Linked DNA regions of Lepisosteus oculatus. The protein of the gene in region 1 interacts with the protein of each later gene in a pairwise test. Links are inferred from orthologs where the notes say so. Each region holds a gene or a part of one and is shown in the gene's direction. Other genes may lie near its edges. The genes, in order: ehhadh, desmin, kctd9a and fundc1.

Evidence for each region.
Region 2: the proteins of ehhadh (region 1) and desmin interact in binary tests that used the Homo sapiens proteins (3 or more experiments, as listed by UniProt). The two-hybrid records come from large-scale screens. The link is inferred for Lepisosteus oculatus from reciprocal best matches to the Homo sapiens genes EHHADH and DES.
Region 3: the proteins of ehhadh (region 1) and kctd9a interact in binary tests that used the Homo sapiens proteins (3 or more experiments, as listed by UniProt). The two-hybrid records come from large-scale screens. The link is inferred for Lepisosteus oculatus from reciprocal best matches to the Homo sapiens genes EHHADH and KCTD9.
Region 4: the proteins of ehhadh (region 1) and fundc1 interact in binary tests that used the Homo sapiens proteins (3 or more experiments, as listed by UniProt). The two-hybrid records come from large-scale screens. The link is inferred for Lepisosteus oculatus from reciprocal best matches to the Homo sapiens genes EHHADH and FUNDC1.

What each region holds. Positions count from the first base shown.
Region 1 is NC_090707.1:24,619,353-24,627,154, forward strand, and holds the start of ehhadh (peroxisomal bifunctional enzyme), read left to right. Parts: upstream 1-4,791; 5' UTR 4,792-5,182; coding exon 5,183-5,256; intron 5,257-5,960; coding exon 5,961-6,064; intron 6,065-6,955; coding exon 6,956-7,125; intron 7,126-7,720; coding exon 7,721-7,802. Other genes in the region: transmembrane protein 41A-B, read right to left, coding at 4,241-4,404. UniProt on the Homo sapiens protein: Peroxisomal trifunctional enzyme possessing 2-enoyl-CoA hydratase, 3-hydroxyacyl-CoA dehydrogenase, and delta 3, delta 2-enoyl-CoA isomerase activities. Catalyzes two of the four reactions of the long chain fatty acids peroxisomal beta-oxidation pathway.
Region 2 is NC_090707.1:33,665,604-33,672,444, forward strand, and holds the start of desmin, read left to right. Parts: upstream 1-3,840; 5' UTR 3,841-3,855; coding exon 3,856-4,532; intron 4,533-6,841. UniProt on the Homo sapiens protein: Muscle-specific type III intermediate filament essential for proper muscular structure and function.
Region 3 is NC_090697.1:72,398,666-72,406,226, reverse strand, and holds the start of kctd9a (BTB/POZ domain-containing protein KCTD9a), read left to right. Parts: upstream 1-4,538; 5' UTR 4,539-4,694; coding exon 4,695-4,742; intron 4,743-5,561; coding exon 5,562-5,683; intron 5,684-5,989; coding exon 5,990-6,033; intron 6,034-6,711; coding exon 6,712-6,808; intron 6,809-7,561. Other genes in the region: actr1b (actin related protein 1B), read left to right, coding at 484-586. UniProt on the Homo sapiens protein: Substrate-specific adapter of a BCR (BTB-CUL3-RBX1) E3 ubiquitin-protein ligase complex, which mediates the ubiquitination of target proteins, leading to their degradation by the proteasome.
Region 4 is NC_090710.1:3,610,881-3,618,667, forward strand, and holds the start of fundc1 (FUN14 domain-containing protein 1), read left to right. Parts: upstream 1-4,766; 5' UTR 4,767-4,871; coding exon 4,872-4,890; intron 4,891-6,643; coding exon 6,644-6,794; intron 6,795-7,787. UniProt on the Homo sapiens protein: Integral mitochondrial outer-membrane protein that mediates the formation of mitochondria-associated endoplasmic reticulum membranes (MAMs).

The sequences.
Region 1 (7,802 bases):
TTGTTTGTTTCTGCACAGTCTGAGTTTCAAGAAAACCCTACTTTAAGCGTTCTGTTACCAACGTCAGCCTATAGAACCTTAAACAGTCTTTCCTCAACATGCTTTACCTTTTTTTCTGATTAAATAAATATTAACTGGTGATCAATTTATGAACAGGTGTGGGAAGTGCAATGATCAAACATTCCCACAATAAATAAGTTCCTTCTGGGGTCCATTATTTTGTATTTCACACATCTTAACAAGGGGAGTGCTTAAATTCACAAATTACAAATTACAAATCCCATTCTACGCTGAATTTACCAAAAGCAAACTGAAAGAATTAAGGAAATGATTAGGATGCGATTAAGAACTCAGCTGGAATTAGTGCAGAAGACATAGCAGTCTTACAGGATGAGGGATGGAAACCAGACAGGTCTCTAGACAAGAGTACGACACAGGAGGGAAAGCTCAAGTCTCAGATTTACATACAGATCACTTCCTGATTTGAAAGATCAGCTTTCTCACATCGTAACATCAGTGGCCACCTTTTAAAAGTGGCAGCACACATTACCTCTTGTTATACTGTGAAAAAGTTCATCTTTGATGGGGCTCCCAAGTGGATTATTTATTATAGACCTAATCATGCAGTTTCCAGCCATACATTATGTACATTAAGAGAACTGCAGTTATTAATTTAGTTGAAATTCATATAGGGATGTTTGTTAACTTAAATTCTAAAATATGAATAACTGTAAAAGGCAGTATTGTAAGTGTAATGTAATGTAATCACAGTTGTAATGAAAACCACATTCATGATGGTAATAGAAATATCCATTATTTATAAAATTTAAAATTATTGCATAATCATCACTTACTGAATAGTCCTCGAGACTTGCATGATCTATACTAAGGACGTGTGGCCCCTTTCCTTGTGTATGTATAATTACAACTGAATTTCAGCTCACACATCTGGATGTCGTGAACCACTTTCTTAATTTGTACAAGTTGTCCAGGTCTCTACTTTTATTATTTTTAAAGTTACCCATTGCTCCATCACCAATACAGTAGATAGCATATCAACAGTATGTTTCCACAATGTCAGTCAAAGGTCACCTTTAGCCTACGATTCAGTATGACCCAATAACACTGCAGTAACAAAAATGCACAAAGGGATTTATGAATAAGGAGGCTTTACCTAATATGCTTATAGCACCTTTCAAAGAAAACGTTACTGTTATTACTCATTCAGTTAGTTTTAGTGTGTCTGGAATAATTTTTACACAACACACTGTTTTATAACAAAGAATCCTTCTCTGGTATTGCAAGTACAACATTGTGTTTCATGGGAATGCAGCAAGCCTACTTCCAATCAGGTCCTTTCTGAAGTGACCTAGTTTTATTTGAGCCCAAAATGATTACATAATGACATTCTCTTTTCACAAGGTCACAGTGGCATGTTGCATGTGTCTGTATTCCTTTTTAGCTGGAAACATAGTTCCCTCTGGGAGAGTAAACACAGGTTCTAAATTTCACTCTGTAATTTAAAAGTGAAAGAAATAATACTCAAAAATAAATAAAATAAATATGAAGTTTAAAACTTGTTCATCCAGATTTGTTAAAAATACAGTTCTAGGTGAATGCATGGGGATGTGTGCCTGAAGAACAGGAAATCCAGACAGAATGGAACCCTTGATTATATTGATGAATTACCAACAACAAAATTCCTTTTCTTTTATTCACCAGATCAGCACTGCTCAGGCACATTCTTGTGACTGCCCATGCTACTTCATTTAAAAAATAAATACTGGACTACACCACAGATTGTCTTATGACAGTAAAGTCCAGCTTTTCAATGGTGGAGACCCTCTAGTTAACAAAATCTGAAACAAAATCTCACACGAGCATTTTGGGAACACATGCAGTTGTCTGCTCACTGTTTGCTCCTTCCTCCCTACATTATGGAATGTTTCCTTCTATGGAATTTTTTATTTACAATGGATTGATTAGACTGGTAAATTGGCACTGAGATATAGCAGTTGACCATGCTCCCTCACAGCTCTTGAATATATGCCAGGCAGGGGTGCATTCTGTATGGAGTTTGCATGCTCTCCCTTTATTTTCTCCTGGAATGGACTGGTATCCCATCCAGGTGTAGTTCTGCTTTGCACCCTTTGCTTTTGGGATTACAGTAGATCCGGTTTGTCCCCAACCCTTTCCAAAAATAAGTGGCTTTCTTATAATGGATGGATGAAGGATGATTTGATAGGCTGACATAAGCAGTCCCCCTTTATATACCACCACTGTTTACTGCGCAATCTTGGCTGGTTTATTTATATGGTTAAAATTCCAAACAAACTAACAAGAACACAGCCCTCAACAAAACGAAATCCGAGACTGATCTGTTATGAATCTTACCCAACCCTTGAGGAAGATATGCTAGCTCAAAACAGGTGTTGAATACTATGTGACCGTATCACTATCACTTCTGAGATGGTGTGGCTCAAACGGGTTTTAGAGCACGTGGAATTATGGTGCTCAGCACATTTGGTCGGAAAACTTGCATGGCAGTGCTGCAAATGGGATCAGGCGGATTGCAGATTAGACATGTTGGGGACTAACTTCGTGAAACATGGCCATCCCCCCAAAACAGGTGTCTGATCTTGTGGAAAACCCCAGCAGAAAGCAAGATCAAGAGCAAGATCTACAGTTACGTGGTGCTATAAATAGGTGATCATCACAGAGGGGAAGAAAATCACTGACCATATTACATTACTCCTTTTGAATTTGAGCTATACATTCTTTATATATTTTGTGTCACCCTGTGAAAGGAAATAATAAGAACATAAATCTATCAAGATATTATAAACATAAACATCACAACTTACTGTATGTTGTGTGTAGAGCAATGTAGATCTTACTTTAATCACTTTCATAGTGTAGGCCTTACTTTTATATTTTCCTTTTAATACAAATGACTGTCAGCCACTTCATAACTTTAAAAGAGTAGGGCTATGGTGGTGATACACATTATTTTTATATCATAATAATAAGGTAACATTACAAACTAACCCTATCCGTGGTTACATAAAACAGGATATTACATACAAACTGGAGACTGATTTTTCTGATTTCTTTCATACTATCAAACCTTTAATGGCAGCACCAAATTTGGCAACACATTTCTCAAAAATGTTTAACTAAGATAAATAAAATCAATTGTATCAATACCGTGATGCCTCTAAACCCATAGTGCTTGTCTTGCTTTTGAACATTATCTTCAAAACTTAATGTATGTAAAACCTGACCATTCGACATCACCGATGTCTTAAATATTAAATAAAAGGTGTCAGTGTTACCGCTGCAACAGTCCAGGAAAAGCGAACGTACAGTCAAATGAATGTCGTTACTGGGTCTAGTTATTTCCATATTAGAAATGCATGCATTGCTACACGTATTATTACAGTAGAAAAGTCGTATTATTATTGCTATTATTTACGCAAATAAAACGTGCATCATAAGACTAAAACGTACCTTTGTGGAGATTAGGTACTCGACTAGAGTGCTCGCTTTCATACCAAAATTCATTTTTAACATGCACACAGATGTAATACGCGTTATTAGTAATTGATATAGTTGAAGCTCTATAGTAAAAGTTTTACTAAAACGCATGGCTTCAAAACCAATACAGCCATGTTTAGAATACATGCTAGTCGCATTTAAATAAAGCGGGAGCCTGTTACTGTATATGTAAGGTTCTTCTGTGTAGTTGGGAAGTAGTTACTGTACCCTCCAAGTCTTAAAGATGGAAGTCTGTATTGATTATAACACCCCGGTGACAGTGTCAATAAATAAGCATTATTACAAATCATAGAATTACGCGTTCGTTGTGTACTCAGTTATTACATTTCACTGAGCATTTATTTTTTAAATGAACTTATTTTCTCAAACCTTACAGCATCAACTACAGACATCTTCCTTCATAAGACACGTCGTTGATTTTTTACTTTAAAAGCATATTCCACATACTCAACCTTAAAAAATGTTAACGTAGTACAATATTATTCAACAATCCCCGCGGTACTAAAAACAAATTTTAATGTCTACATTATTCCATAATGGTCACTACCACAAAACGAGAAAACATGAAATTGCCAACTTTTGATTATGACATTTCCCATGAGTCTGGATGAGAAATGAGACAAAATGCTTGCAGTAGCGGTGTCTTTGTCTGACCAAGAACGCAGTATCAATTATAACTTACCTATGTTCTTCCGACCCCAAGTCGGGGTCCGAGTTTTCATTGGACTTGACCGGCTCATCCCCTGTACGAGGGTGATGCGGCCCCGGGGGCAAATAAGTGGAGAGAAGGTAGAGATAGAAAGTAGCCGCAGTGACCAGTAAAATTAACCCCGATATAGATCGCATGGTCCCAGGGCTAGCACTTCAGAGGCTAAATCTCTAGCTCCGGAACTTACAGAGTGACAGCAATGTTGTTTGAGCACTGAGCAACTTAACCTCTCCCTACAGTATCCTTGTACAGACAGCGGAACTACATTACTGTGGTAACAAAAATAAAGGGGAACATTAAGAGCAGTCGGACTGATAACAGTAAGACGGATCACGTATATCCGTCAAAATATCTCTGCCAAGCTAGCGTCGCTAAATGCAGCTAGCATCACGCTACTCGATGTCAAAGTCCAATGTAAAGTCAGTGTGGTACTGGCGTAGTTTTGCGTCAGATGCACATGGCCTTGTAGCTTTAAACGTGGACTTTGAAGTTACGTATATGCTACAACCTCAGATTTAAACATGTTGCAGAGAACTGTTGTTTCTTTTATCAATAAATGTATTGCTTCTTAACAATAAGCGTTGCTCAATTAGATATAGACACTCATTCAACAAGAAAACCGATTCACTTCCATTAATATCTACATAAAGATGAAATTTAAAAAGTATAAACAAAAATAATGGTGTGGAATTTTACTTGTGTAAACTCGGGAGTTTGACCTATCTGACTAGCTGTGTGCACTCATATCTTCCTTTCGGGCAACTAAAAAACATAAGGTTAAATGTTTTGGTTGGCAGACTACATTTACGTATTGCGGTGAGGATCTCACCTGGTTAAAGTTCAAGGTTTCGTAGGTATTTCACTAGCGCATCTGTTAGTGGAACGATAGTATTATCAGTCTCTGTGGAAAACAAAATGGCAGTTTATACTCGCATTCCTGGCTCCGTTGCTGTAATAACGTTGACTAACCCACCCGTCAATGCACTCAGGTAAGCTTAATTTAAGTAAAAATAGTTATGTATTCTTGCTGGTAATGTCATTGACAACGCAACAGACTAAAGTTGAAAGGAAAAGTACTGTAAGGATTTTTTAGTTAAATATTTTCATAGGTTACTGGGCAAACTATGTAAAATAAGTGTGCTGCTATAGACATCTGCACTAGCTGTGCAAGAACGGTGTGTATGCCCTTAGTAGCTATACTGTACACTGAGCTGCAACATTGTTTTCACCCTCAAGCTGCGTGTTCCGGCTTTATAAAATAAATGTCTGTCATAAATTAACATTATTAAATTATCACCACGAAACATACGGTACACCTATTGCCTCTTTTAAAACTTTATATAAGTTATGAAGGGTAATGTAGTCTTTGAACTGTGAACTGTCCTTCACTTTTTTCTTGTCCGTCTGTTTATTTATGATGTCAATCAACATTCCCTTTAACAAAGCCCTCAAAATATTTTCTTGCAGAAACTAGGAGGGAAATTATATAAAGTTCATACTATGTAATAGCCTTCACCAGTTTGTACCTTCTGGTTTGTGAAGGTTTGCACTTAATTTAATTTGTGAAAAGTGCTCTTAATTTAATGCAGATCTATAATTTAGGAGGTATGAATTCACTGTATGAATCTGTCTGTGCTATGTACATTGGGAACACTGCAATGTTGATAATGTGGATTGTTATAATGTCCTCCAGCTCCACAGTACGTAAGGCCATCAGTCAGACAGTAAGCAGAGCTGGTGCTGACTCAGAAGTAAAAGCTGTTGTGCTGTGTGGAGACAACAGGATGTTTTGTGCTGGTAAGGAAAGGACTGTGTCTGTTATTGACAAAGTGGCAGTTAGGTTCTTGGTTGAAAGTTGAGTGGCCATTCTTTAGCTTGAAAAATATAGCTTAGTATGAGCACAGTATGAGCTATGTAAACAAACTGAACTTGGAACATTAAAATAAGTTATCAAATGCCTGTGATATATTAGTAATTCTGAAAAAAAAACGGGTGTGGTCCAAGCTAATATTCAGTATATATGGGCTTTGTCTGAACACTCAGATGTTGTTTAGCAGGTACAAACATCAGCTAGCCAGTGCTAGAGCTGATAGAACAGTAGGCACAAGCTAAGTAAAGCCTAAGCTAAAGTCTGGAGAAAACAGTTGAATTACCTTGGAAGCAGTAATATTCAAGGAATGCCAAACTCATTAAAAGCATTTAGATTTAAATTAACATTGGATTTAAAACATTATGCTTTAAATCTACTTCTCTTCATGAAAAATCAATAAAAACACATTTATTTTATTGAAATAGGTAGGTCATGTACCTATTTGGACTTTGTAACATTGATTTTATCCCCCTGAAAGTGCTGTAAACACAGCTTAGCTGGAGATTATTTTTGAACATGGTATGTGAAACAGTGCACATGAAACTGTGAATGCTTTTAAGTCTGGCTTCACCAGACTGGAAAAAAGGCAAATATTAATGACCTAGCAGCAATTCCATTCATATATGAGAGGCCTATAATAAACCCATTTATTTGTTCTCTTAAAAAATGTGCAAATTCATAAAAATGTTTAAAAAATATTGCCAGTTCATATTCTTTTCATCCTCTATTAGTGTAATTGCCATTGAAATGTACTGTAGGCAGTGTTCTTGGTCTCTTTTGCTGACCAGAAGCTGCTGTCATGTTTTTTGTGGGTGCAGGGGCGGATATCCGGGAGTTCTCGGGGACGATGTCCGGCCCAGCCCTGGTGCCCCTGATCGACGAGATTGAGGGCGGCGAGAAGCCCGTGGTGGCAGCAATAGAGGGCGTGGCCCTGGGGGGTGGGCTGGAGCTGGCTCTGGGCTGTCATTACCGCATCGCTCACTCCGAGGTAAGGTCAACCAGCAAGCTAGGACATTTCTTCTCTTTCCTGCACCATCAGTATAATCATTAGATGCCAATAAGTCCTTGTATGTATCAAACTGCTACACAATGTTAGGGGTCTGTTGGTTTCTCGTGTCTGGAGAAGCTAGTAGGTCACAGGTAGCACTGCAAACAAATAATTTCATTAGAGAAAAAAATGTGTTTCTGGTTGTGTGACAGGTTGAACATGTTTCGCTTTATTTTCTGTGTGTACTATTTGGTTATATTTTTATTTTCAGAACTTGAATAAGTCACGTATTTTATTGTATACCATCATGTTTATAAAGAGGACTTTTTGCGAGAAATAGGTCTTCACAGAGTGAAAATTCCCTTTGGAAATGGAGTTGTCTGTTTTCTCCTGAACATGACTTGAGTTCTGCACAAGTTACTGCTAATTTGGGGAATAGTTTGTGCAGTGAATTGACATTTATATCTGCATTAGTCTAATTTCATTTAGTACCTAGTGATCAGAGTTATCTAGACATTTGTGTTTTAGTGGGAGGTAGACGTTCGTTGCTGAAGTCATTCTTTCTCATACTGTTCTCCTGCTCTTGGTGCTGTAGGCTCGGGTAGGACTCCCAGAAGTCACGCTGGGTCTTCTTCCGGCTGCAGGGGGCACACAACGCTTGCCCCGGCTCACTGGGA
Region 2 (6,841 bases), about 9.0 Mb from region 1:
CAATAAAGCAAGAAAGTATTTTGCCTGTGTTAAAGATGCAGTTTTCAGGTAGAATTCTTATGTGTTGTCCCCATTCCCTGTACAGACTTTTAACTCCATCCATCTAACCTTAGCTGTTTTCTTTGAGGCATTCACTTTTCCATGATTTCGTTACAAAAGGCCTTACTCTTGACAGCAAGCCTTCATTGGTATAAAGTAAACCCTGACTCTCATTCTGTTGGTATCAAAGGAAGGCGTCCAAAATTGTTTTCCTTTTTCCATCTCATAGCATATACTGCAGGTAAATTATATGTCCAGTGTCTATCTCAGGCAGAGTGCATTCCGAGCAACTTTAGAGAGTCATAGGTACAGGAGGTGAGATCCTACAAGTGGGAGAAATGATGTGCAGTCAACTGAGGATGGATTGCTGCCTGGGGTTTTGTAGATTTGTATTGTATTTCACTCCCATATTCACATTTACAGAGGTCACAGCTGGCCTTAGCTTGAGTAATGTTTTATAATAATAATAATAATAATATAGTAATTGCTTACACTTATATACTGTAGCTCTTTTCTGGACACTCCACTCAAAGCACTTTACAGGTAATGGGGACTCCCCTCCACCACCACCAATGTGCAGCATCCACCTGGATGATGCGATGGTAGCCATAGTGCGCCAGAACGCTCACCACACATCAGCTCTCAGTGGGGAGGAGAGCAGAGTGATGAAGCCAATTGATAGATGGGGATTATTAGGATGCCATGATTGGTAAAGGCCAATGGGAAATTTGGCCAGGACCACCCCTACTCTTTTCGAGAAATGTCCTGGGATTTTTAATGACCACAGAGAGTCAGGACCTCGGTTTTACGTCTCATCCGAAGGACGGCGCCTGTTTACAGTATAGTGTCCCCGTCACTATACTGGGGCATTAGGACCCACATGAGCCGCAGGGTGAGCGCCCCCTGCTGGCCCCACTAACACCTCTTCCAGCAGCAACCTTAGTTATTCCCAGGAGGACTCCCATCCAGGTACTTTATCCAAAGGCTGTCTAAAATTCTGCATCTGAGAAGCTCTCTGGTGCACCATGGATTAAGGGTTTCATGCGACGCACTGTTATTCATTTATTAAAACTGTTTTTTCTTTCACAGGATAAAGTGAGTTGATGTACTGTATTTTTAAGGGTATGTAGTACTCAAAAAGAGACATAACCTTTCTGAAAATAGTTGTTTTGCTTTTTGCCAAGCCACTTTTGTCCTTTTTAGCATCTTTTCATTGCTTTTTCAAGTCTCTTGACTAGAATAGTAATGAGGTAAAGTAATTAATACCTTGCTGGAATCTCCAGATTTTTGTGACTGGGAATACAATAGGTATTTTTCAATAGTCAATTCATTTGTGACACGAAGAATTTTTTGATTTGTGTTTTTTCTGCACCTTTATGCTGCTTGCTAAAATAGTTACTCCTGATCAATCTTTCTTGAAGGGAGGAATCCACTCTTGACAGAGATATGTATTTTTCAGAATGATACAGTAAGTAATACTTCTTGCTCAATTCCCTGACAAAAAGATTTTGTAATAATACCCTTTCTGTGAACTGCACAGATGTTCTTTCTGACCTTTACTCGGTTGAAAGGGATCACGTGATGGTTAAGGTCTGAGAGTATGATTGTGGTAGGTCAGAGGTGGTGCAGTTTGATGGACTGAAGTAATTCTGAGCCATAAGCTGGGACTACATTTAGCTGCTTGCTGCACTGAAAAAAAATAACCCAGTGTTTTCACACAATGTGTCCACGACTTGTTGCCCTCGACTGACAATTAGACATTGATTAATGACAAAGTGGTCATGTTAGAATTACTGCAAGTTGTCTGTAGATGCTCCATTATTTTCTGATCTGCTAACACAGCCCTCATAACAGTGCTGTGCAGAGATTGAACCTCTGCCTATCACATTCTGCTGCTTTTCAGTTATGATTTAGTTCCCCACTCACAGTAAGCATGGTCTGTTCTGTCAGTAGGTATGGGGAGCTTTCAATCATAAATGGCCACTATTTTGTGCAGGCTGTTCCGTAATTCACCACCTTATTTTTCCCCTTTCCTTTAGGTCTGCACAAGAATTCTCAATATGTTTGGTATATCATCCATCTATCCAATTTCTAATCGTTTCTTCCAATTCAGGGTCACTAGAGAGTCAGAGTCTATCATGGCAAACAGGCATAAGGCAAGGTACAGGACAGGAGTTCATTGCAAGATAGTTTGGTCTGTTATTGAGAAAGTATTTGATTTGTTTTACTGTAGATTTAATCACAGTTTTGTGCATCATATTTCCTTTTATTCCAAGCTGCCATTAAACAGGAAAAAAACCTTAATGGAAACTCTCGTCTGCAGACCCTTTGGTTCAGTTTACTCTTTGCTTCACTGTCTTTGTTGATCAATAAGGAGATCAATAAACTAACAAGGGATTTGTCCTGTGTTTGAAATTGCAGCAGTGTTCCTGCATTTTTGTAACAATTAAGCTGCGGTCAAATGTGTGGTTTCAGGTACTTAATACCATTTAGCATGGTAACAGTGCGAGACCCACGTTTTATATCTTCGCAACACAACGCTGTTGTGTGTTAATCAAACTGGAATCAGAAGATACAGCATATTAATATTCAGGACTACGTTGAAAAATCTGCTGTGTGCTTCCACTAGACAAAATTAGGATAAAGGAAAAAATTGCATCTTTTGATCTTAAGTGCTTAATAGAAATAAGTAGCGAATGCTGTCTTTGTACTGAAAATAAGTAGATTTCAATTTTACCAAACATACTGTGAAGTGAGGATATATTTATTGTAAATGCTACAGTACTTCACAGTCAGACTTTCTAAATGAGAGATATTCAGTAATTCAATAATATCCATACTGCATTGTTTTTTATTCCCTTTTATGCTATAGTTTACTGTGGCAGATTGCTGTGCAAAGTGTAATCTTGCGTTGACTGAACATATACAGTATGTAGTGATGGGTATTTGCATACAAGGGATATCTCACAAGAGGGAAGATATGTCTATTAATGTTCTGTGGTAACTCAGACCTTTTAAAAATAGCCCTTGGGTATTATTTGAGTTTAGGCTAATGTTTTTTTCAATTATTCCTTCAGCATAGGGTATTATCAGAGACATATTATCATCAGATACTAAAGTATTATTAGTGCATACTTGGTATTTAGCTCTTTATCTCCTTATGTACCAATTTAATTGAAAAGGATGCTGTAAGATATTAAAAACTAAAGATGGATGTGTTGTTATCTCAAGTGCCAAAGGTTGTACTGCATAGATTTGTATTCCTTCATCACAGTCTACACTGTTAAGCACTAAGTGTTTCTTTCTATCTTTAATCTAACACATCCTGGATTATATTATAAAACCAAAGAAGAGTGCACAGGCCATTCAGTGCACCTCCAGCAGTACCCGTGAAGTTAAATTAGAAATTTCATAGCTATGTTTTCAGTTTTGTTTTCAATTTGTAAATAACTAATGCCGTTTTTTTGTTTCCAGACAATCCTGCATCCAACCCAGTGAAACTTTGCTGACTTTAGTGGGAAACTAAGTGATCTATTTTTCGACACGCTTAATGTTTAATGACCAACACACACTTAAAGGACTGCTGAGAACGTGGTCTGAAGGGCCTAACTCAAGATGGCTCTTCCTGAGAAAACAGCATTTTCTGCTTCCCCTCGGAAAACACTGGCTGTCTGAGGTGGAGTTTGAGTGTATGAGCAGGCCCCACAGCACAGGGCCTTCATTGTTCCTTCCAGCTGTTTTTCTTTTCTCCTGGCTGGCCTGACACAAAGCAGACCATGTTAAAATAACACTCGCCACCGGACGCTAGGACCTTGAATGTCTGCGTGGGCGCTGAGCCTCCAGCAGCTGACATCAGAGAGAGTACAAATACCAAGAGCCTGCGACGGCAGCCCTCACTTGCCAAGGTTTCTGCCACAGGGTGCAGCTCTCCAGAAGTCCACAATGAGCCAATCGTACTCTAACACTCAGAGGGTCTCCTCTTACAGGAGGACCTTTGGAGGTGGAGCGGGGTCCCCCAGTCTCTCCAGGGCCACGTACTCTGGAAGAGGGTCCACCAGCGCATCCTCGACAGCGTCCAGGGTCTACCAGGTGTCCAGGAGCTCGGCGTCCCCCAGCTTCTCCACGATACGGTCCACCCGCATGACCCCCGTGCGCTCCTACGTCGGCGGGGGGGAGACCCTGGATTTCAGCCTGGCCGACGCCATGAACCAGGAGTTCCTGCAGACCCGCACCAACGAGAAGGCCGAGCTACAGCACCTCAACGACCGCTTCGCCAACTACATCGAGAAGGTGCGCTTCCTGGAGCAGCAGAACCAGACCCTGGTGGTGGAGATCGAGAAACTGCGGGGCCGGGAGCCGACGCGCGTGGCCGAGATCTACGAGGAGGAGATGAGGGAGTTGCGCCGGCAGGTCGAGGTGCTCACGAACCAGAGGTCGCGCGTGGAGGTTGAGAGGGACAACCTGGCTGATGACCTCCAGAAGCTGAAGCAGAGGTGAGAACAGGAAACGCAGATAAAATCCACACCTGACAGCTCCGCTCTGTTCTTCTCCTGCTCTATTTTATAATTTCTGCCAAAAGGCATCTGCCTTCTCATTTATACACGCTACGCAACATTTTCATCGGTCGAGTTTATAGGAATTGCAAATCCACGAGGTAGTATTTGTAACGTCTAAAATCTACTAGATGAGGAATAGCCTTTTGTTTTCAGGTAAACTTCAGACCAAAAAGAAACCTTAAATGGTGACTGATTCAGTTATTAAACTCTTTGAGAGTTTCAATAATTTTCATGCAAAAATTACATTTTAGTATTAGTGAGGGAAGTTTTATGGTGGAAAAAATGTATATGAAAAGATGACTGGGAAGATTCAGAAAACTATTTTTTTTCATAAAACACTTGTGACTAATATAAATATATTTTCTGTTATTGCAGTTCAAACGTTTTTAAAACTGTGTGAACTATATTGATGAGGGAAGACATCTTAACCGTTTTTATTGTGAACTGAAAAAGCATCAGAAACCCCCCCCCCCCAAATGAGACTTGATTAGTTGCTAACTTAACTATGAAAAAAATGTATTGCCTGTGTTAGCTTTATCTTGTCTCAAAGTTTCTCATTTACTGAACATACGTTAGATGGGGTTGAAAAAGTTAATCTGGAAGTTGTTGATTTTTTCTTATTCTTTCTAGAAATTAGGGGTAGAGAGACTTGAACATAGAATGGAAGAAGGTACTGTACAGTTGACTCAAATATGAAATTAATGGTAGGGGTCTGAGGATCTTTAACAGTAGTAAAGCAGATGACGGGTATATCCTTCGAGACATTTTATTGTTAAAGCCCTTTCTAGTCTACCTCCGCAGAATTAAAAGAGCTCAAATACAGTAATTAAAAAATCTAGTAGAACATGAAGTGTTTGACAGTACAGTGTCTTCAACCCACAAAATGCTAAATGTCAGTGTGTGTGTGTGGTTCCTAAGCACAGTACTGGAATAGCGGGTAGCATTTAATTTTGATTGATATAAAGTAAATTATCAATTGGATTGAACTAATCATTACTTGAAATTGCATTTCATTGCATTTTATGGTGTGTATCCTGTCTGCTATGTCACTAGTTGTTCTGTCTTGAAGAACCTACAGTATGTCTGAATACATTGTGAAAATATGGAGTAAAGGGTGTGTGATATGCTGTCTTTGAACAGTAATCGAAGAAATCCCATTAGTCAGCTCCTCAATCAGGGTTTGCTTTCTATTTCTGATTGTGTTCTTGAATGGAAAAAAATAATAATACAGTTCTCTGCGTATGTATTGACTTTGGATTTATATATTACAGTGTGATAATTAGCTTTGTGTGCTGGGTCACTTGTACAGCTTCTCCAAGAAACAGCTGGATGAGGTCTTTGCATTGATTAGATGCTAATTATTGAACGGGCTAAACAGGTCAAATTGCCTCAAATCATATGTAACATTTCTTATGTTCTCAAGCAGGGACAGCTCATACTATAATTTCATTTTTTAGAGATTAATGACTAAGTTTTAAAGAGACATCAAGAGACGCAGACTATAAAATCAGTCACATTCATACTGTCACAGACAGACAAATAGAAGAGACAACTGTGCTTTAAAAAGTAATCAAGACGGTTATATTCCTTTGAAGTTTGAAGTACTATTAGGTGAAAAAGATTTTGTAGTGTTTAAAGTCATCTGTATTAAAATGCCTTGAATATATTCGACAAATGTATTAATTTGTATCTTAAGCCAAAATATAACAAATGCAGCTGAGATCCAAGTTTCATTTGTTTTGATTTGGATTTTTTTATATCTATATATGGAATTAACAATGTCATACCTAAGCAATAAGCTTGAAGTGAATATGGAAACAGAGACGTTTTGCAGATAAAGATACAGCACACGAAATCCAATCATCATAATAATAGTCATTTTAAAGGCTGGATGATTCAACTTTTGAGATGGAGATCAATGATAACACAAGTGCATCTCATCTTTACCATTACAGCCAACAAGAGACAACCATAAATTATGAATAATCTTAGTCTTTAGATTGAGTTTGTAAATCTTTATTTGACCTACAGTACATAGTGTACAAAGGATATCATTATGTACTGGGAAATGGACTGGAGCAGGGTTTGTTTTAAACTATATTCTAAGCTATTTCAGTTCTGTATTACAAGACAAATACAGTACACTGCTGTGCAAAATATTTCAGACATCAGGAGCTACAATATTCGTGAGGGATGTTAATATAGACATACATGGACAATTGTTTCTGCATAAACTGAAATTACTG
Region 3 (7,561 bases), on another chromosome or scaffold:
ACAGTGGCTATATGTTCCTTTTTCTTTCACATTTTTCTGTTTCTTTTTTTTACATTACACTGAGTGTGTTACAACTGTGTTTATGGGCAACAGTGTGTCAATAATACATAAATAGTCATCACCCCAGCCTCAACTCTGAAGCCTAGCAGTGCTAGCCAGGGAGCAGGCAATCAGCAAAGGATTTTGGTGGGTTAGTAGGTGGCGCTTGGTCGTTTTGTATCTCCAGTTCACTGGCATGGTGATAATATGGGGGAACTGTGCTGCAGTAAGGGCAGTCTTAGGATAGACATCTCTGACATTTGGACTTAAAAATAAAACCTTTCTGCAGTGAGTGCAGTGTTGCTCACGTTACTGACAATATCAAACCCAGTCCAGGTGCATGCAATATGATTATCTGTTATGATTATTCTGCCACAACCCCAGCCACTTCTAAGCAGTTCCTGCAGCCTGTCACATGCCCGTATTCTCTCTCATTCTGTGCAGGGGGTCAATCCTGGCTTCTCTAGACACCTTTAAGAAGATGTGGGTCTCCAAGAAGGAATATGAAGAGGATGGAGCTCGCGCCATCCATAGGAAGACCTTCTAATAAAAGACAGGCCCCCCCCAGCCCCAATCGTTCTGGTTCAAATCCAGCCCCTCCACCTTCCCAAGGCCCCTTTCCCACATTTTACAGGGAGAAGCCAGGATCCTTGAGCCCGGCATGCCAGCTGATGCCCCTCTACACACACACTCGTGGGGCATATCAGCCAGGACTGGCAGAAGGTTCGGGCAGACAGTCTTGGTCAATTTCCCATCCACCCGCCCCAGATCTGTCAAACACAGCAGGCTTTCAGACACAGCTCCCTCTGTAGTGGACTCTTATATTTGTACATTTGGGCGAAACTGATGGCTGCATTCCTAAACGAAAGCATGAAGTATTTATAAAGATGTTAATCTAAGCCCATGTGATATCATTGCTCTTTCTAATGAGTTGTTTTTGCCATTAATGGAAGTTAATGTTCTTGTTAACTGGATAAATTCAGTTCTACTTTGATCACGTTCTTGTTTTCTTTTCCATGTTCCAGTCTTTACAGTTCTGCAGCGTTGGTGAATGTTGAAAGAAATGGGTTGCTAGCCCATTTTTTTAAAAAAATCTTCATTTTTAATAGTTGTTTGTCAGTTTGACTATGTTGATAAATAATACACAGAAGAGCACTGTACAGCTACACTAATCAGGACCAGTCTATGTGTGGTAATGGTAATGGAGTCATGCAGCTGGGCAGGAACCTCCCATACAGTTTTAATACAGTAGAGTACTGTAGAGTCCAAGCACAAAACATTAAACACATGTTTTTCAGTAGATAGCATTGGAGCTCCAATACTGCCCTGCTACATAAGCAGCAATTCAAAGCAACATCCACTGAAAGATTTCCTCTAGAACCCAGGTTCAGTGCTGTCAGCATCTCTGAAAAATGTCACAGATTCTCATGGGATTTTGTTACCTCATAAAGCATGCAGATGTAGCTTGTGGTGTAGAGTGCAGCTTTTGCTTTTTTTTAGCTAGCTTTTCGAGATGTGGTTTAGTTTTGACTTTTTTCCTTGCTTACATTCCACGTTTTACACGCTTTGATTTGCTTTTCCCATTTTATACAGTTAAAGGAAAAAGTGAGCTGAGGAAATAGTGTTTGGCTAACGTGTTCATCAGCAGTTGTGCAATGCCCTGCTATAATTGCAAAACGATCTTATTAATAACTTAGTATAGCTTATTACCCCTTTGACCATGATACTGTTTGAAGTTCTCCGTTTGTATCTTTGTGTCTGTGTAAACAATTTAAAACTTGAATTTGTGGCCAGGCTATAATTTGAGATTTGTATGTCAGTTTAATTATCCATGAATATTCATTTCCAGCCATTAGTAGATGTGTCGGAGAATGCAATCTGCTTCTCACCAATTCTCATTATTGGATGTGGAAATGATCAACAATCAGTATGATCATTGTTACCTCTTACAGGTATAAAATCAATTGAAAAACATGTCTCCTGTATTAGACGTGATAGAGTTATTAGCATAATATTAAAATATAAACATTCCCCTTGAATCTTGACACCTGAAGACAAGTTCACCTAGCTGTTGTTGTCTTTATGGCTTTCTGAAACTTGTACACTTTCCATAGGATGCTGAGAATGAGTGGTCCTTTTCATTGTGAGTTAATTCTCAACTGCCTGTGCGTGCATCTGTTGCTGTGATTAATGCTTTAGGCGTTTCATTATTAGGGCACAGATAATGGCAAGTTAGCAAGGCATGTTCTGTTTTGAGCTATATCCAATCCCTAACCGTAAATTACTTTTGTGGTATAGAGAGAACTCAGAAATCACAATTCTGTCCTTCAGATTGTCTGGTTAAACTCAAATAATTAAAGAATATGTAGATTAAAGTAGGGAATAAAATATGTGGATTGAAATTGTATTGGGATTAAGTAGTTAAATTGAATTATTCATTGACTGCCTCCTTCCAGATAATGAAGTCCAGGAGGAAGATCATGTGAATGGGTTTCAGAAATTCTTGGCTATCTTTCAAGCAGCATTAAAAAATGTCCAACAGCAGTTTGAAAGAGGCTAAAAACTCACAATAAATGGAAAATGTCTGAAAATCTTACATGTTTTATATTGGGGAGATATTTGCAGTATTTTAATACTGCAGCCTGTTACTACTCTACCATTTAATGCAAAGATTTAAATGATATATTCAGTGTCTGAAGAAGTGTGGGCTGTTTATCATGGTAAGATGTGAATGGCCATTCCAAAACAGATGAACTTGGCTTGCAAAAATATTTTCAGCTGTCAGTTTAAATCTGCAGGTTACCTTGGACTTTGAAGTCCTTCAATCAGCTCCAAAGCAGTCACTGTGGGTGGTCACCTATTGCACTTGTAAATATTCACCATCAACACTGTTTTCCTTCAAATATTTGTGCTAAATCCTCATATCTTTATAAACGTCAAAGTGGAGTACAGATAGTGGAATTGTAGGTGTGCTGTAAACCTTTTGTCCAGGAGGCACACTGTATAGCTCAACAACCAAATGGACTTATGCTTCTGATCTTGAATAACAGAGTCCAAGCCCAGTGATCCTTTAGATTTAGGGGGAAGGTCTGTCTCTAGAGACAATGCCCTCCATTACACATAAATGATGAGTTCTGACACTGAGGTTCTGAACAAATTCATTTTTATGCTGCCTTAAATGTTTGAGTTGTTTCTCCTGTCTCCTTAAAGTCAAAACAAGAATATTTTTTCCCTCTTTTGAATTAAATTGTCCATCAGTTAATGGGAGGAAATAACGGTTAGTAAAGTAAAATTAAATCATGACTCAGCTGTCACGACTCTTAAATGATCCCTTAGTTATTTAAACTGGAATTAAATTTTCTGTACTTGCATTCCAAGCACCGTGCTTGTTTATTGTTTGTTTAATTTGCAGTAGAGAACTTGCAGTCCTATTGAAATCGTTTGAAAATGTGGCTGTCAATTATTGTAAAATTGGAAAGGTTGATTTAAAACCTTAAGCAATGAACACATCCAACCAAACACAGCAATCTATGCAGTGAGGTGATGAATCCCAAGCAGAACAGAAACACGGAGAACTTGCAGCCCTGGATGACGAACGGAATTGGCTTAATCTTTGAAGCGTTTTGCTTGGTGCAGCGTTTGTTATGTCCGAGTCCGTCCTCCGCGATCCCAGCCACGTCCCCTCCTGCCTTCTCGGCCCAAAAGCCTCTGCGTCTGTATTGGGGAAGCTAATTTGCTCTGATGTTTTAAAGCAGGTGAATTCATCAGCCTTGTATACAGCGGATAGTATTGTAAAATAAACACATGCCCAGAAACCGAAAACTGAAATGTAAAATATATTGGAAGTGTTGCTTTTAATTTTGTAAATCTAAATAATAAATTAATGGTTGCTGATTCCGTCTTTTTGATTATCTTTTTTATTTTGTAGACCGCGGAATTAATCATTTCACCCCTCATGCTGATAATTTCTACTATAATAATTTTCGGTGTGTTGAGAAGTTGGATATGCTTTAAGTTGTTCAAACTGGACCGCTTAACGGTGCTGTCCTCAGCATCCAAGAAAATGTGGAGAAAAAATACGTCGGTTCCTTTTCTACAAAACATCAGAGATTTTCAGATTTGAACATAATTGTAGAGCATTAAGCATGACAATTTATGAGGCTCAACGCATAAATATCACCTCCGATGTAATACGGTACGTAAAACATTATTAACTGAAAAATGTTTTAATACTTCTCAACTAAAACTTAAGCGTGAATGAACTTGGCTTTTTTGAGGCAGGCTAGTAATTATGGTAACTCATTTTAGTCTCATTCAGTGAAGTGCAGTTTCCGTGACGTTGACAGAATGATTTTAACTTTAAAATACATGAGTCATAAATTTCAGGGCAACCGAACTTGCTGCTTTCTGTGGTTTTTCTTATTGGTTTCATTGTGTTCCTGGTTTACATTTTCTTGTATTTGGTTGGTCGCGACAGTTCACCAGGTGTATCTCCGTTTCGTGATTGGGCGATGGCGGAGTGATGAGCTTCAAGCATGGTAGTCTGTCTTCTGTGAAAATTTCCACTTCTTTCATAGGCAGTTTTTTATAAAGTTGTGTTTTGTGTAAATATTTATTATAGTTTTGTAACTAATATCTTAAGCTACATACAAAGAATGAGGAGAGTGACTCTCTTTGTAAATGGAACTTCCAAAAACGGCAAGGTAAGAAATATTAACTATTATAGTTGTAACAGCTTGCTTATAAGATCTAATTTATTCAATCATGAAATGAAAAGTCACCTCACTGGTACCGAGCATTAATTAGCATAGCTTTGTAACAGTTATTGTTTGTACTTACCAACGTGTCGTGCTACTCAGTCCCTTAACGTTTGCAAAATCGACAGTTTTAATGAGCTAAAACAATCTTAACTGTATGTGTAAAAGATTTTAGTTATCTGCTCGTAATCATTCAAGCAATAGTTTAGTTACTTGAGTGGAATTATTATTAAATACTTTTGAACATTGCTGGTGGAACGTGAATTTTTGTCCAAGTTTTAGGGCTTTAACAGAGTGAAGATTTTCTCTTGAGATTTGCCTGTACTTTGCTCCATCCATTTTCTCTTATATATTTGCTTTATATATATATTATATATATTGCATTTGCTTATATATTGCAGTTGTTGTATATGACAGTTTGGTGCAATGAATAATAATTCAAATATCATTCCAAAGGTTTTTTATGTATATGTGTTGTGTGTTTCTACTGTTTTGTTGAAAGAAGCATCAGTATTATCAATGAAATAGCGTGGCAGCTGATAAAGTACACCTAGACCTGTCACTTTTCATTATTGGAAGAGACACTTCAGTCAAAGTCGTACTACATATGTGAAGGATGAATAGAGATCCATTTGTTAGCCTGCTCAATATAATCTGAAGATTAAAATGGGTGGGTTCTTCTGTAAACAATATTGACATCCCTAATACAGTTAAAGTCCTAGTTTCCTTAGAGATATAAAAGGTCTTTCCCTGCATGTGTCTCAGGTAGTAGCAGTGTATGGAACTTTGGCAGACCTGCTGTCTGTGGCGAGCAACAAGCTGGGAATCAAGGCTTCTTGTCTCTACAATGGGAAAGGGGGGCTCATTGATGACATTGCTCTCATCAGGTAAGGAGGAGGTAGATATACAGAATCTGAAGAATTCATTCAAGGCCAATATGTATGGTGACTTTTTAAATGAACTTTTCCAATGTTGTAGACCTGAATATTTAAACGGTATTCCGTATTTTGACTTCATGTGGGTTTTAATGCTCCCTTTGGGTTTTCAGATATTCAGATAAAACGGGGTTGCTAAGCCCATTTGGCGATAATGACACATGCTTGTTATTTGATAGTTGTATGCTGTGACCTTTCTGTTAGGCAGTGCTGTTGTTATATTGCAGTGTGATTGAGTTATTTTTGTTCATCCTGCAGGGACGATGATGTGTTGTATGTTTCTGAAGGAGACTCTTTTGTAGGTGAGTCCTGCAGTTTTTAGTGTGCCTTTCACCCTAAAAGAGATATAGGTTCATTAAGTGTCATCATCTACTAAGGAATTGTAGGACTCAACTGGGTGCTAAAGCTGTTATAGGTCAGAAGCTTCACTGCGCTGCAGTCTGTGGAAATACTTGAAAACTGCTGTCCTAGGTGGAGAAGAATGAATTTGCTTTACCTATTGAATTAAAGGGAAACTTTTGGTAGGCCAGATTGAATATACCCTTTAGGCAGGATGCTTGAGTTTACACTCCTGCTCTACTGAATGGAGCTGAGGGATCTTTTAATAGCTAGGTATCCAGGAGCTTGGCTTAACTTCTCATTTGAAAGATGGGCCCATGCCACGCAGTGCCCCTGGTCACCATGCTGGGGCATTAGAATCCTGGATATTCTGGTCCACGGGAAAAAGCGCCCCCTACAGGTCCACGAGCACTGCTTATAGCAGCAATCTGGTTTTCAGTACTAGGCTGGAAGAACGCCACTGACCACTTTCGTCCTTGTTTGAGATTTCACGAGATCAGGCGGTGATGTGGTAATGAAGCCAAGTGGGTTTGTCACTTAGTCTGGCACCAGACTTCCCTCTCCGGCAGCGGTATATTTTAAGTCTGTGTTTTTGTTGTTGTTCGTGTATTGTGCGGTCGTCTAATTTCATGCTTTGCCAGACCCCCAGAATGAAGAGAGAAGTTCAGATGAGCTCTCAGGTGCCCACACCGACTGGTTAACGCTAAACATTGGGGGACGGTGTTTCACAACTACACGGTAATGTGCCTTTTAAGAATGTTGCAGCACTGATCTCTCCACACTTCTGAAAGGGAAAAAAAAGATATTGAAAATAAAGGAAAAATATGAATGTGGAGTAAATGGAGTTTTGTTTTTGCAGCACTTGATGTTTCTGCAGACCTTTAAGGAGTCTTTTCAGAAATATTCTTTTTAGAAATATAACTATGAAATACATAATTAACAACAGCAATTAAGAAATCTCTCAATCAGTAATCTGTGTGGGTATAAGCTGTGCAAGCTGTTTATTGTGTAATCCCCATTTGTGTTAGGCCCTTTGGCTAAGATGAAAAGGCAGGTATGTTCGCATTGCTATTTTCAACTCTGGGCAGAGGTCAAAAACCCAGGTCTCACCCCTGCAGGCTTGCACACAACAGGGATACTCCTGCCCCAGGCAGGAAACATGCATTACATTTGACCACAAAAAAAAACTAAGGGAAAAAATCCTTCTTTGAGACTGAATATATTTTCAAATTAAATTACACAGTAGCAACTAAGAGCAACAAAAAGAAATTCAGCAGTTATTCTCTCACTCGTTCTCATGTCTTCATTGCTCTGTTGAAATGATCATTGTTTCATTGCCCACAGTGATCACTTTTGTTTGTATGAAACATAGATCACCTTTTCTATAGCCACCATCCCCATCATACCAAATGTCATGCGTTCATACCAAGTAACCTCAAACAGTTACATATAATGTGAAACATGTTGCTGCTCCTTGTCTTGGACAAGACA
Region 4 (7,787 bases), on another chromosome or scaffold:
ATCCACCACTAAAGGGCAACCTCATTGCACAGCCAATGAGGGAGAGAAGTGAGAACCTGCTTCACCAGTTGAATTAAGGGGAATTTATAGTGAGGACAGATGATAGAAATTGAGTGGAAATTGGCAGGATCACAGCCCTTAACAACCCCACTCTGATGAGCTGTGTCCTGAGATCCCTAGTGACCAAGCAGCCAGGACCCCAGTTTAACGTCTGGTCCGAAGGATGACACTTCCTACAGTCCAGTGTGCCCTGAAAACCCTGCAGAGCTGCTCTTGCTAGGAAGGTTCTGGTCCAGAGGGAAGTGTGCCCTCTATTGGTCCAGTTGTATCCCAGCTTTTACACCTGTTCATAGTTTCTGTCTACTCCACCTCATCTGCTGTGCAGTGGAGCTGCTGTTTGTCAGACAAGTGGGGCTGCGTGTCAGTGGCGGATGAAGTGGGTCCCTTTTTATATGCAGATCACTCTGGAATCCTTTCACTCTCTATATAAAGCTTTATATAGATGGTTTATATAAGGGTGTTACCCGGGCATCCTGGATAAATTTCCCATTGGCCTTTACCAATCATGGCTCCTAATAATGCCATCTCTGAAGTGGCTTCATCACTCTGTTCTCCTCCCCACTAATAGCTGATGTGTGGTGAGAGCTCTGGCGCACTATGGCTGCCGTCGCATCATCCAGGTGGGGCTGCACACTGGTGATGGTGGAGGGGAGTCCCCATTACCTATAAAGCACTTTGAGTGGAGTGTCCAGAAAAGCACTATGTAACTGTAAGGAATTATTATTACATAAAGTAACTCTGAAAGAGACACTACACAAATCCTTCCATCTATTTTCTGACTGCTTTATCTAATTAAGGGTTGCAAGCCAGTGTCGGCAAGCAGTGGGCACAAGGCAGGATGCAGACTGGACTGGATTCCAGTCCACTGCAAAGCGCACACTAACACAGACACAGGCACATTCACACCAGGGCCAGTTTTCCCAGAAGCCAACAAACCCGCCAGCATGTCTTTGGACTGTGGAAGGAAACCGGAGCACCAGAGGAAACCCGTGCAAACATTGGGAGAACATACAAACTCCAACCAGATGGTACCCCAGGTCCAGAATTGAAGCCAGGGCCCCCGTGCTGTGACATAGCAATTTCCCTCACGGGATCAATAAAGTATCTATCTATCTATCTATCTATCTATCTATCTATCTATCTATCTAGCAATATTAACCACTCTGCCCCCGTGCTGCCCCTACACAAATCCAATTATGTATTAATTAAATTGCTGTTCTTACTCTAAACCCGAAAGGTGTCATTCTAATCAAGGAATTTATTCCTTGACCTTTTGCCTTTGGCCAGTCCAGATTATGATTCAGGTTACACCAATGCCGGAGGCTGTATCTGGTCTCATTTCTAAGGATCACAAGATCTCTCACTTTCATTTAGAACACCGCTTGCTGGAAGCCCTAAAGCATATTAGCCTTTGGGCCAATATGTTAGAGGTCTCACTGGCCAATCAATAACAACCACCTCAAGGAATTACAGTAAGTGCAACCCCAGCTCTGTAACTCTTTGACATTTACTGTATTACCCACCCACTGCAAGAAGCATTTAACCTTAAGAGAAATTTAAAACTAAATGAGCCAGATGTGCTGAATGACCTCTTCTCATTTGCAGTAGCACACTTAAAAAAATACAACCTACTTTTTTCTGTATCCTCCATCATTCAAAACAGCGCCACACACCGTAAACACTTGTTCAATTTACATGTGATGAGATATATTGCAAGCTAAACATTTCTCAGGCCTGCACAACAGCTCACAAAGATAACAGATTTTCTATAACATGGATGTTTTATTCTTGGAAAGGGTCAATCAATCCAGAACAATCAATTAAGCCCTGAAACAGTAACTGGACTACCCCTGGACAGGACAGTAGTCCATCACAGGACACAAGACAGGACCGCACCCTGGACAGCACACCAGTCCATCACAGGACACAAGACAGGACCGCACCCTGGACAGGACATCAGTACATCACAGGTCACAACACAATTGGACAATTTAGAGACAAATTAATTTAGGCAGCATGTCTTTATGAGGGAGTAGGGATGAAGAACACTTGCAACTCCATTCTTACAGGAAATCTCAAGCTTTTGCACCCCAATGTGCTCATTTTACTGGATAAACTCAAAACTGGACAAAAAGAGAGGGACAGAACCAGCTAAAAATAAATGAATAAAATACAGTAATCCATCTGTGCAATCAAACAATTCAATCTCAAACACAAAAGAAATTAAACACGCTGATAAAAATTAAACAAGTAGTAAATCTGGACCCATGGACATAGAATGTATAATTTCTGGTCGGCTTAATGAAACATCCAGATGATTTCCTTCACTTAGGTACAAAAAATTAAATGTGCTCTATTAATTAAAATCATACAAAAAATGTAACCTTTTAATGAAATACCACTCCAAGGAAACTACAGCTCCGATATATCCTAAAACTCTTGATTTATGATAAAACTAGATGATACATTCTGAAAAAGTAACATGCATATTAAAAGTACTATGAAAATAAAAACACATTTATGTCCTAGGCTACAGTACCAATATCTAAAAGCTAGAATAGAAGATCTGCAAAATTGCCAGAGTATTATTTCAAACCTTGTAATTTTGTCATTTAAACCAAAACCTTAATCTCCTTCTTTATATCATTGGGCACAGATGGGTTTGTTTTTCTTATAGTCCTGTGTTGACAGCCGTTGTGATACAGCATTGTGATGGCAGAGGTAAGAGTGACAAGCCAATGAAAAAATGTTAAAAGCATGGAAAATTATAAGAAGAAATTATATATAACATTTTGTAGTTATTAATTGATCAAGCTGTATGTTGAAAGACAGGATATCACCTTCAGCAACAGGGCTGGGTCACTTGTTCCCTACCCCAACTACCCTTTGGGTAAAGACATGCACTTAATTTTAGTTTCCACTTGTGACTCATGTTTTGCTTTTGATTCTCAAGTCAGTGGCTCAGAGGATTTTGAATATTTCAACCAGGTCACCTCATAGTCTTCTGTGTCCAAGACTAAAATTTGTGGCTCTTACTGATTATGCAAGACGTCATCAGTGGTTGAGTCATGTCTCAGGCCACAATTCTGGACCCATCGCCGAGAAATATTCTGTTTCACCCCCAGATCATGATGGCTAGAGTAATTGGCTGAATAACTTCACTGAGATGAGGAGAGCCAAAGTCTGTGAGTTTTATAGAGAGTGGGGCTGGGCTACATCAGTCCTGACTTTATTAAAGTACTCACTCAGTTGGCCCTAGTTATCCCTTAATTAAACTGATTGAACTACAGAGGGCATTCACTTTTTAACACGGGGATATTTGATGTGGGATTACTTTGTTTATAAAACAATTGAAACAAGCACCAAATGCTGGTGTTATTTGTTCACGTGGTGGTGAAACATTCAGTGGTGAAGTTAGAGAATCTGAAAGGGAGCAAACACTTTTTTTTGCTGAACTGTATACAGACACTTTAGAGGTAGTTTAGATAAGATAAGATCACTTTATTAGCCATATACAATTTCTTGCAATAGGAATTTGTCTTTTCGCATACCCCACCTTGCTCTCCATGAGACACACAGACAGGGAGAGAAGCTTGGGGTCAGGGTGCTGGGTCAGCCATTTATACAGCACCCCTGGAGAAGCTGGGGTTAAGGGCCTTGCATAGGGGGCCTCAACGGAGTAGGATTCCTCTGCTGGCTGCAGGATTTGAACCAGCAACTTTCCAGCCACAGGCACAGATCCTTAGCCACAGAGCCACTGCTCCGCCCAATTTATTCTTACACAGAATCCTCTTGTGATGATGATAATGTCTTTCTGTTATTTCAGACTTTCCTCCTCTTTCCTCAAGCATGCTGGCATAATGACATCACTATGAGTGGTCTGGTCAATTTTGAGTATATATGTTTTAATAGGGATGACTTAACAATGGAACAGTGACTGTGTTTAGCATAAGTTAATTATTAGGAACACTGCTGTGATATCTGTGTTAGCCCAGCCAGCTGTGTAAATACACTCATTGTTCCACATCTTCAGAATAAGGTAACATTGCTGGGAACTACAAACGAACAGCTAACCAACAACACGTATCTATAGTTTATATGTCTACTACCTGGATGTAACACGCTGCTATTGTATTCGTGTCAGAAGAACGTAAATGACGTAAATGCCATATGACAGATGTGTAGTTTTTTTATTTTCCTTTTCTGCTTTCACGCTGTTTGCTAAACCTCCTGTTTTGGTGTCGTCTTCGAGCTACTCGACTGATTATATGAGAATCTAGATCACTCATATCAATTAGGAAGGTATAATAAAACCGGGAAAGGTAAATGCAGTTGCAGCACAAGGTAAATTTAACCTCTTGAGCTTGAGAGCTACGATAAACCACAAGAGCTGCAAAAGCCACGGTGCAAGATGGTAACGACACAGGACAATTGAGAAACAGTCACGCCAATATCCTGTGGGTAAATCCGCATATTTTGCGTGGAGGTTACAGTTGAAACACGTGACAGGGACCCAGCGCCGGATAGTAATGGATGCAAGTTGAATATTGAGATTGTTACTTAATACATTTTGCGAGGTTACTTGTTGCAGATTTTATTGTTATATTGTTAAATAAAACAATATTTAGGACACGTAAAGCTGGAAGAAAAACAACTTTAAACATTTGTAATCCATCTTGGAACTCACGAAACGCCAGAGCTGCAGAAAGAAAAAAGATGTCCTGGCTCTTTAAACAACTTGAACCGAGGTGGAGGAGGCGGAGTACACCGGGTGCTTGGCACTGTCAACATCCTGAGCAGTTGACTGCAAAATGGCGGACTGCAGAGAAGGTTAGTAGTGCATTTGTGTTTTAGTGGCATTTAAACAAAAATGGAGCTTATTAACAACGGTGTCTTTAGGAATGAACAAATACAATCCTGTTCTTGATTTGCTAGTCTGTGCGTCGTCTTTTGAGGAAGTGAAATTGTAGAATTGTAGAATGAAATTGTTATGTTTACATATACATTCAGACTGTTAGCTACACTACCTTCTAAGAACTGTATTTAGATTTTCGCGTTTTGCCGCATTACAAAATGTTAATGGCTAAAGTAATAAGGAATTGAGCTGGACGGAACGATTATACGGTATACGCAATGTTCTGATAATATACAAGATTTTGCTAAACTAGATGATTCTTCAAATCTGGAAGTGCAAACTTAGACCGTTATATGAGTCATATCAATTAAAAATGTTAAATCCCATTGTTATAAAACGAGCTGTCATGTCAAGGGCAGTTCAAGTGCCATAGATATTGATCCATATGTTCTTCTTATCCATGTAATAGTGTAAATATGCAAACTCATCACCCAATTGTTTGTATATTATGTTGCATTAAAAGCAATCCCATCCAGGTATTAGCCAGGCTCACACCTGCTGTGCTTCAGTGGGTTGCCAGTTGTGCATTCCAGGCTGATGTAGCTGCCGACAATCATTTTATCTCAGCAGTCTACATATGCCCTCTTACCTCAGTGGGGAACTTGGAACTGGTGTCTACTTTCGTGTCTGCCATCTTAACGTTTGATATTGTTGAACTGGGGAAAAATAAAGACAATCCAATTCCTATAAGAACAATACAAATATGACTATTAAGTGCCAGTCAAAAGACAGAATAAAGCGACAATTTTCTTACTTAGCCGAGGCTCCATCATACCGATGGCAGAAAGATATTGTTCCCAACATAAATGGGACGCATTTGTTTTTTTTCTGTGTTTATGGTTTCTTGATTTTCCCTTTTTGTTGACATTCAAATGGTTAAATTACCTCATCACCCATATGTGATCAGCTTTCCCCTTATTGAGCTGCTATAGTGCTGATCCAGCAGTCAAAGTCACTGGAGTGCATAACGGGCAACATGAGCATTCAATAAATCAAAATGACCCCAAAACAATTACTCAGTCTCCCAAATATGTAGAATTTATTTTTGTGTGTATAAAACAAACCTGCATGAAAGATTCATGGTGCTCCATGTTTCTTCCCACAGTCCAAAGACACACTGGTAGGTTAATTGGCTTCTGGGAGAATTGGCCCTGGTGTGAGTGTGTTTGTGTCTGTGTGCCCTGCAGTGTACTGGTGTCCATTGCTTGTCAGGATAGACTCTGGCACCCTCGTGACCCTGTACTGGATAAAAAGCATAGAAGATGGATGGATGACATCTGCATAAATTGAGTGATTGTCTTCTGCTCAGTATTTTATCTAGCAAAGTCATAAAAAGTAATCTGAGCAATCTGTTAGGGATAGCCTTCTGTCAAAAGGGAGAGCCTTCTGTGAAATTATCAAGAGTTTATCCTTCGTTAGATTGCCTCAGAGAAACAAAAAGAGTTGATTAATACATTTCGGTCTGAGCTGCAGCGAGGAGCTCTTTAGATAGAAGGCATGATTATGTCATTCCTGTTAAAGACAATTTGTTTGTGCTCATTGGTATTTTATATGGATAAAACTCAGTGCATTCGTTGGGCGATGACACTGTCTATCATGAGTGGTGGTGTGTAAAGATGAACCGAGAGTAGCAAACTGACACGCATGGTTTTGTCTTGAAATGCTAAGACAGTGACGATGACTCGTACGAAGTGGTGGACCTTTCGGATTATGCAAGACGCCATCAGTGGTGGAGTCGCGTCTTTGGCCAGAATTCTGGACCCATTGCCGAGAAATATTCTGTTGCAACGCAGATCATGATGGGTGGTGTAACTGGCTGGTAAGTATACAGACTCTTTAAAGGTACTTTATGGATTTGTCTTAAAGTACATATATATTAGGTTATTTCACTTAAGTAAAGAAATGAGTTCCCATTGGAATGCCTTTATCTGTACATAACTACTTGTATAATAATAGCTAGAACGCTCATTAGCTATTAGTGGGGAGGAGAACAGAGTGATGAAACCAATTCATAGATGTGGATAATTAGGAGGCCATGATTGGTAAGGGCCAATGGGAAATTTGGCCAGGACGCCGGGGTTACACCCCTACTCTTTTCAAGAAACGCTCTGGGATTTTTAATGACCACAGAGAGTCAGGACCTCGGTTTTATTCTCACCCGAAGGACGGCGCCTGTTTACAGTATAGTGTCCCTGTCACTATACTGGGGCATTAGGACCCACATGGACCGCAAGGTGAGCGCCCCCTGCTGGTCCCACTAACACCTCTTCCAGCAGCAACCTTAGTTTTTCCCAGGAGCTCTCCCATCCAGGTACTGACCAGGCTCACACCTGCTGAGCTTCAGAGGCCTGCGAGTTGTGAGTTGCAGGGTGAAATGGCTGCTGGCGTCTGCTGGATATCGTCTGCTGGACAGGAGCTTCTTTAACGCAGCAATAAGATGCAGTGCCAAGTCAGGGCTGAAATGTGAGTTTTCCTGCCCCCCCCCTTCCCCATAATCAGCACAGGTGTGCAAGGGGGCTCCCAATTTGCTTGTTCAGATATCAGGCAGCAGCAGCGTTACGGGCTTGTAGCTTGATCTCGTCGGATCGCAGAAGCGGAGCAAGGCTGCACCTGGTCAGTACTGGGATGGGAGATCTCTTAGGAAAAACCAGGTTGCTGCTGTAAGTTTAGCTCATAGACCAGCTGTTCTCTCTGGACAGTTTGGTGACCTGGGCCACTGCTACCGTGTAGGAGGTACCATTCCACTAGACTCTTGCAGGTCATGTAATATCTCAATGTCATTGATTATGTGGCTTGGAAGATGGCATTACTT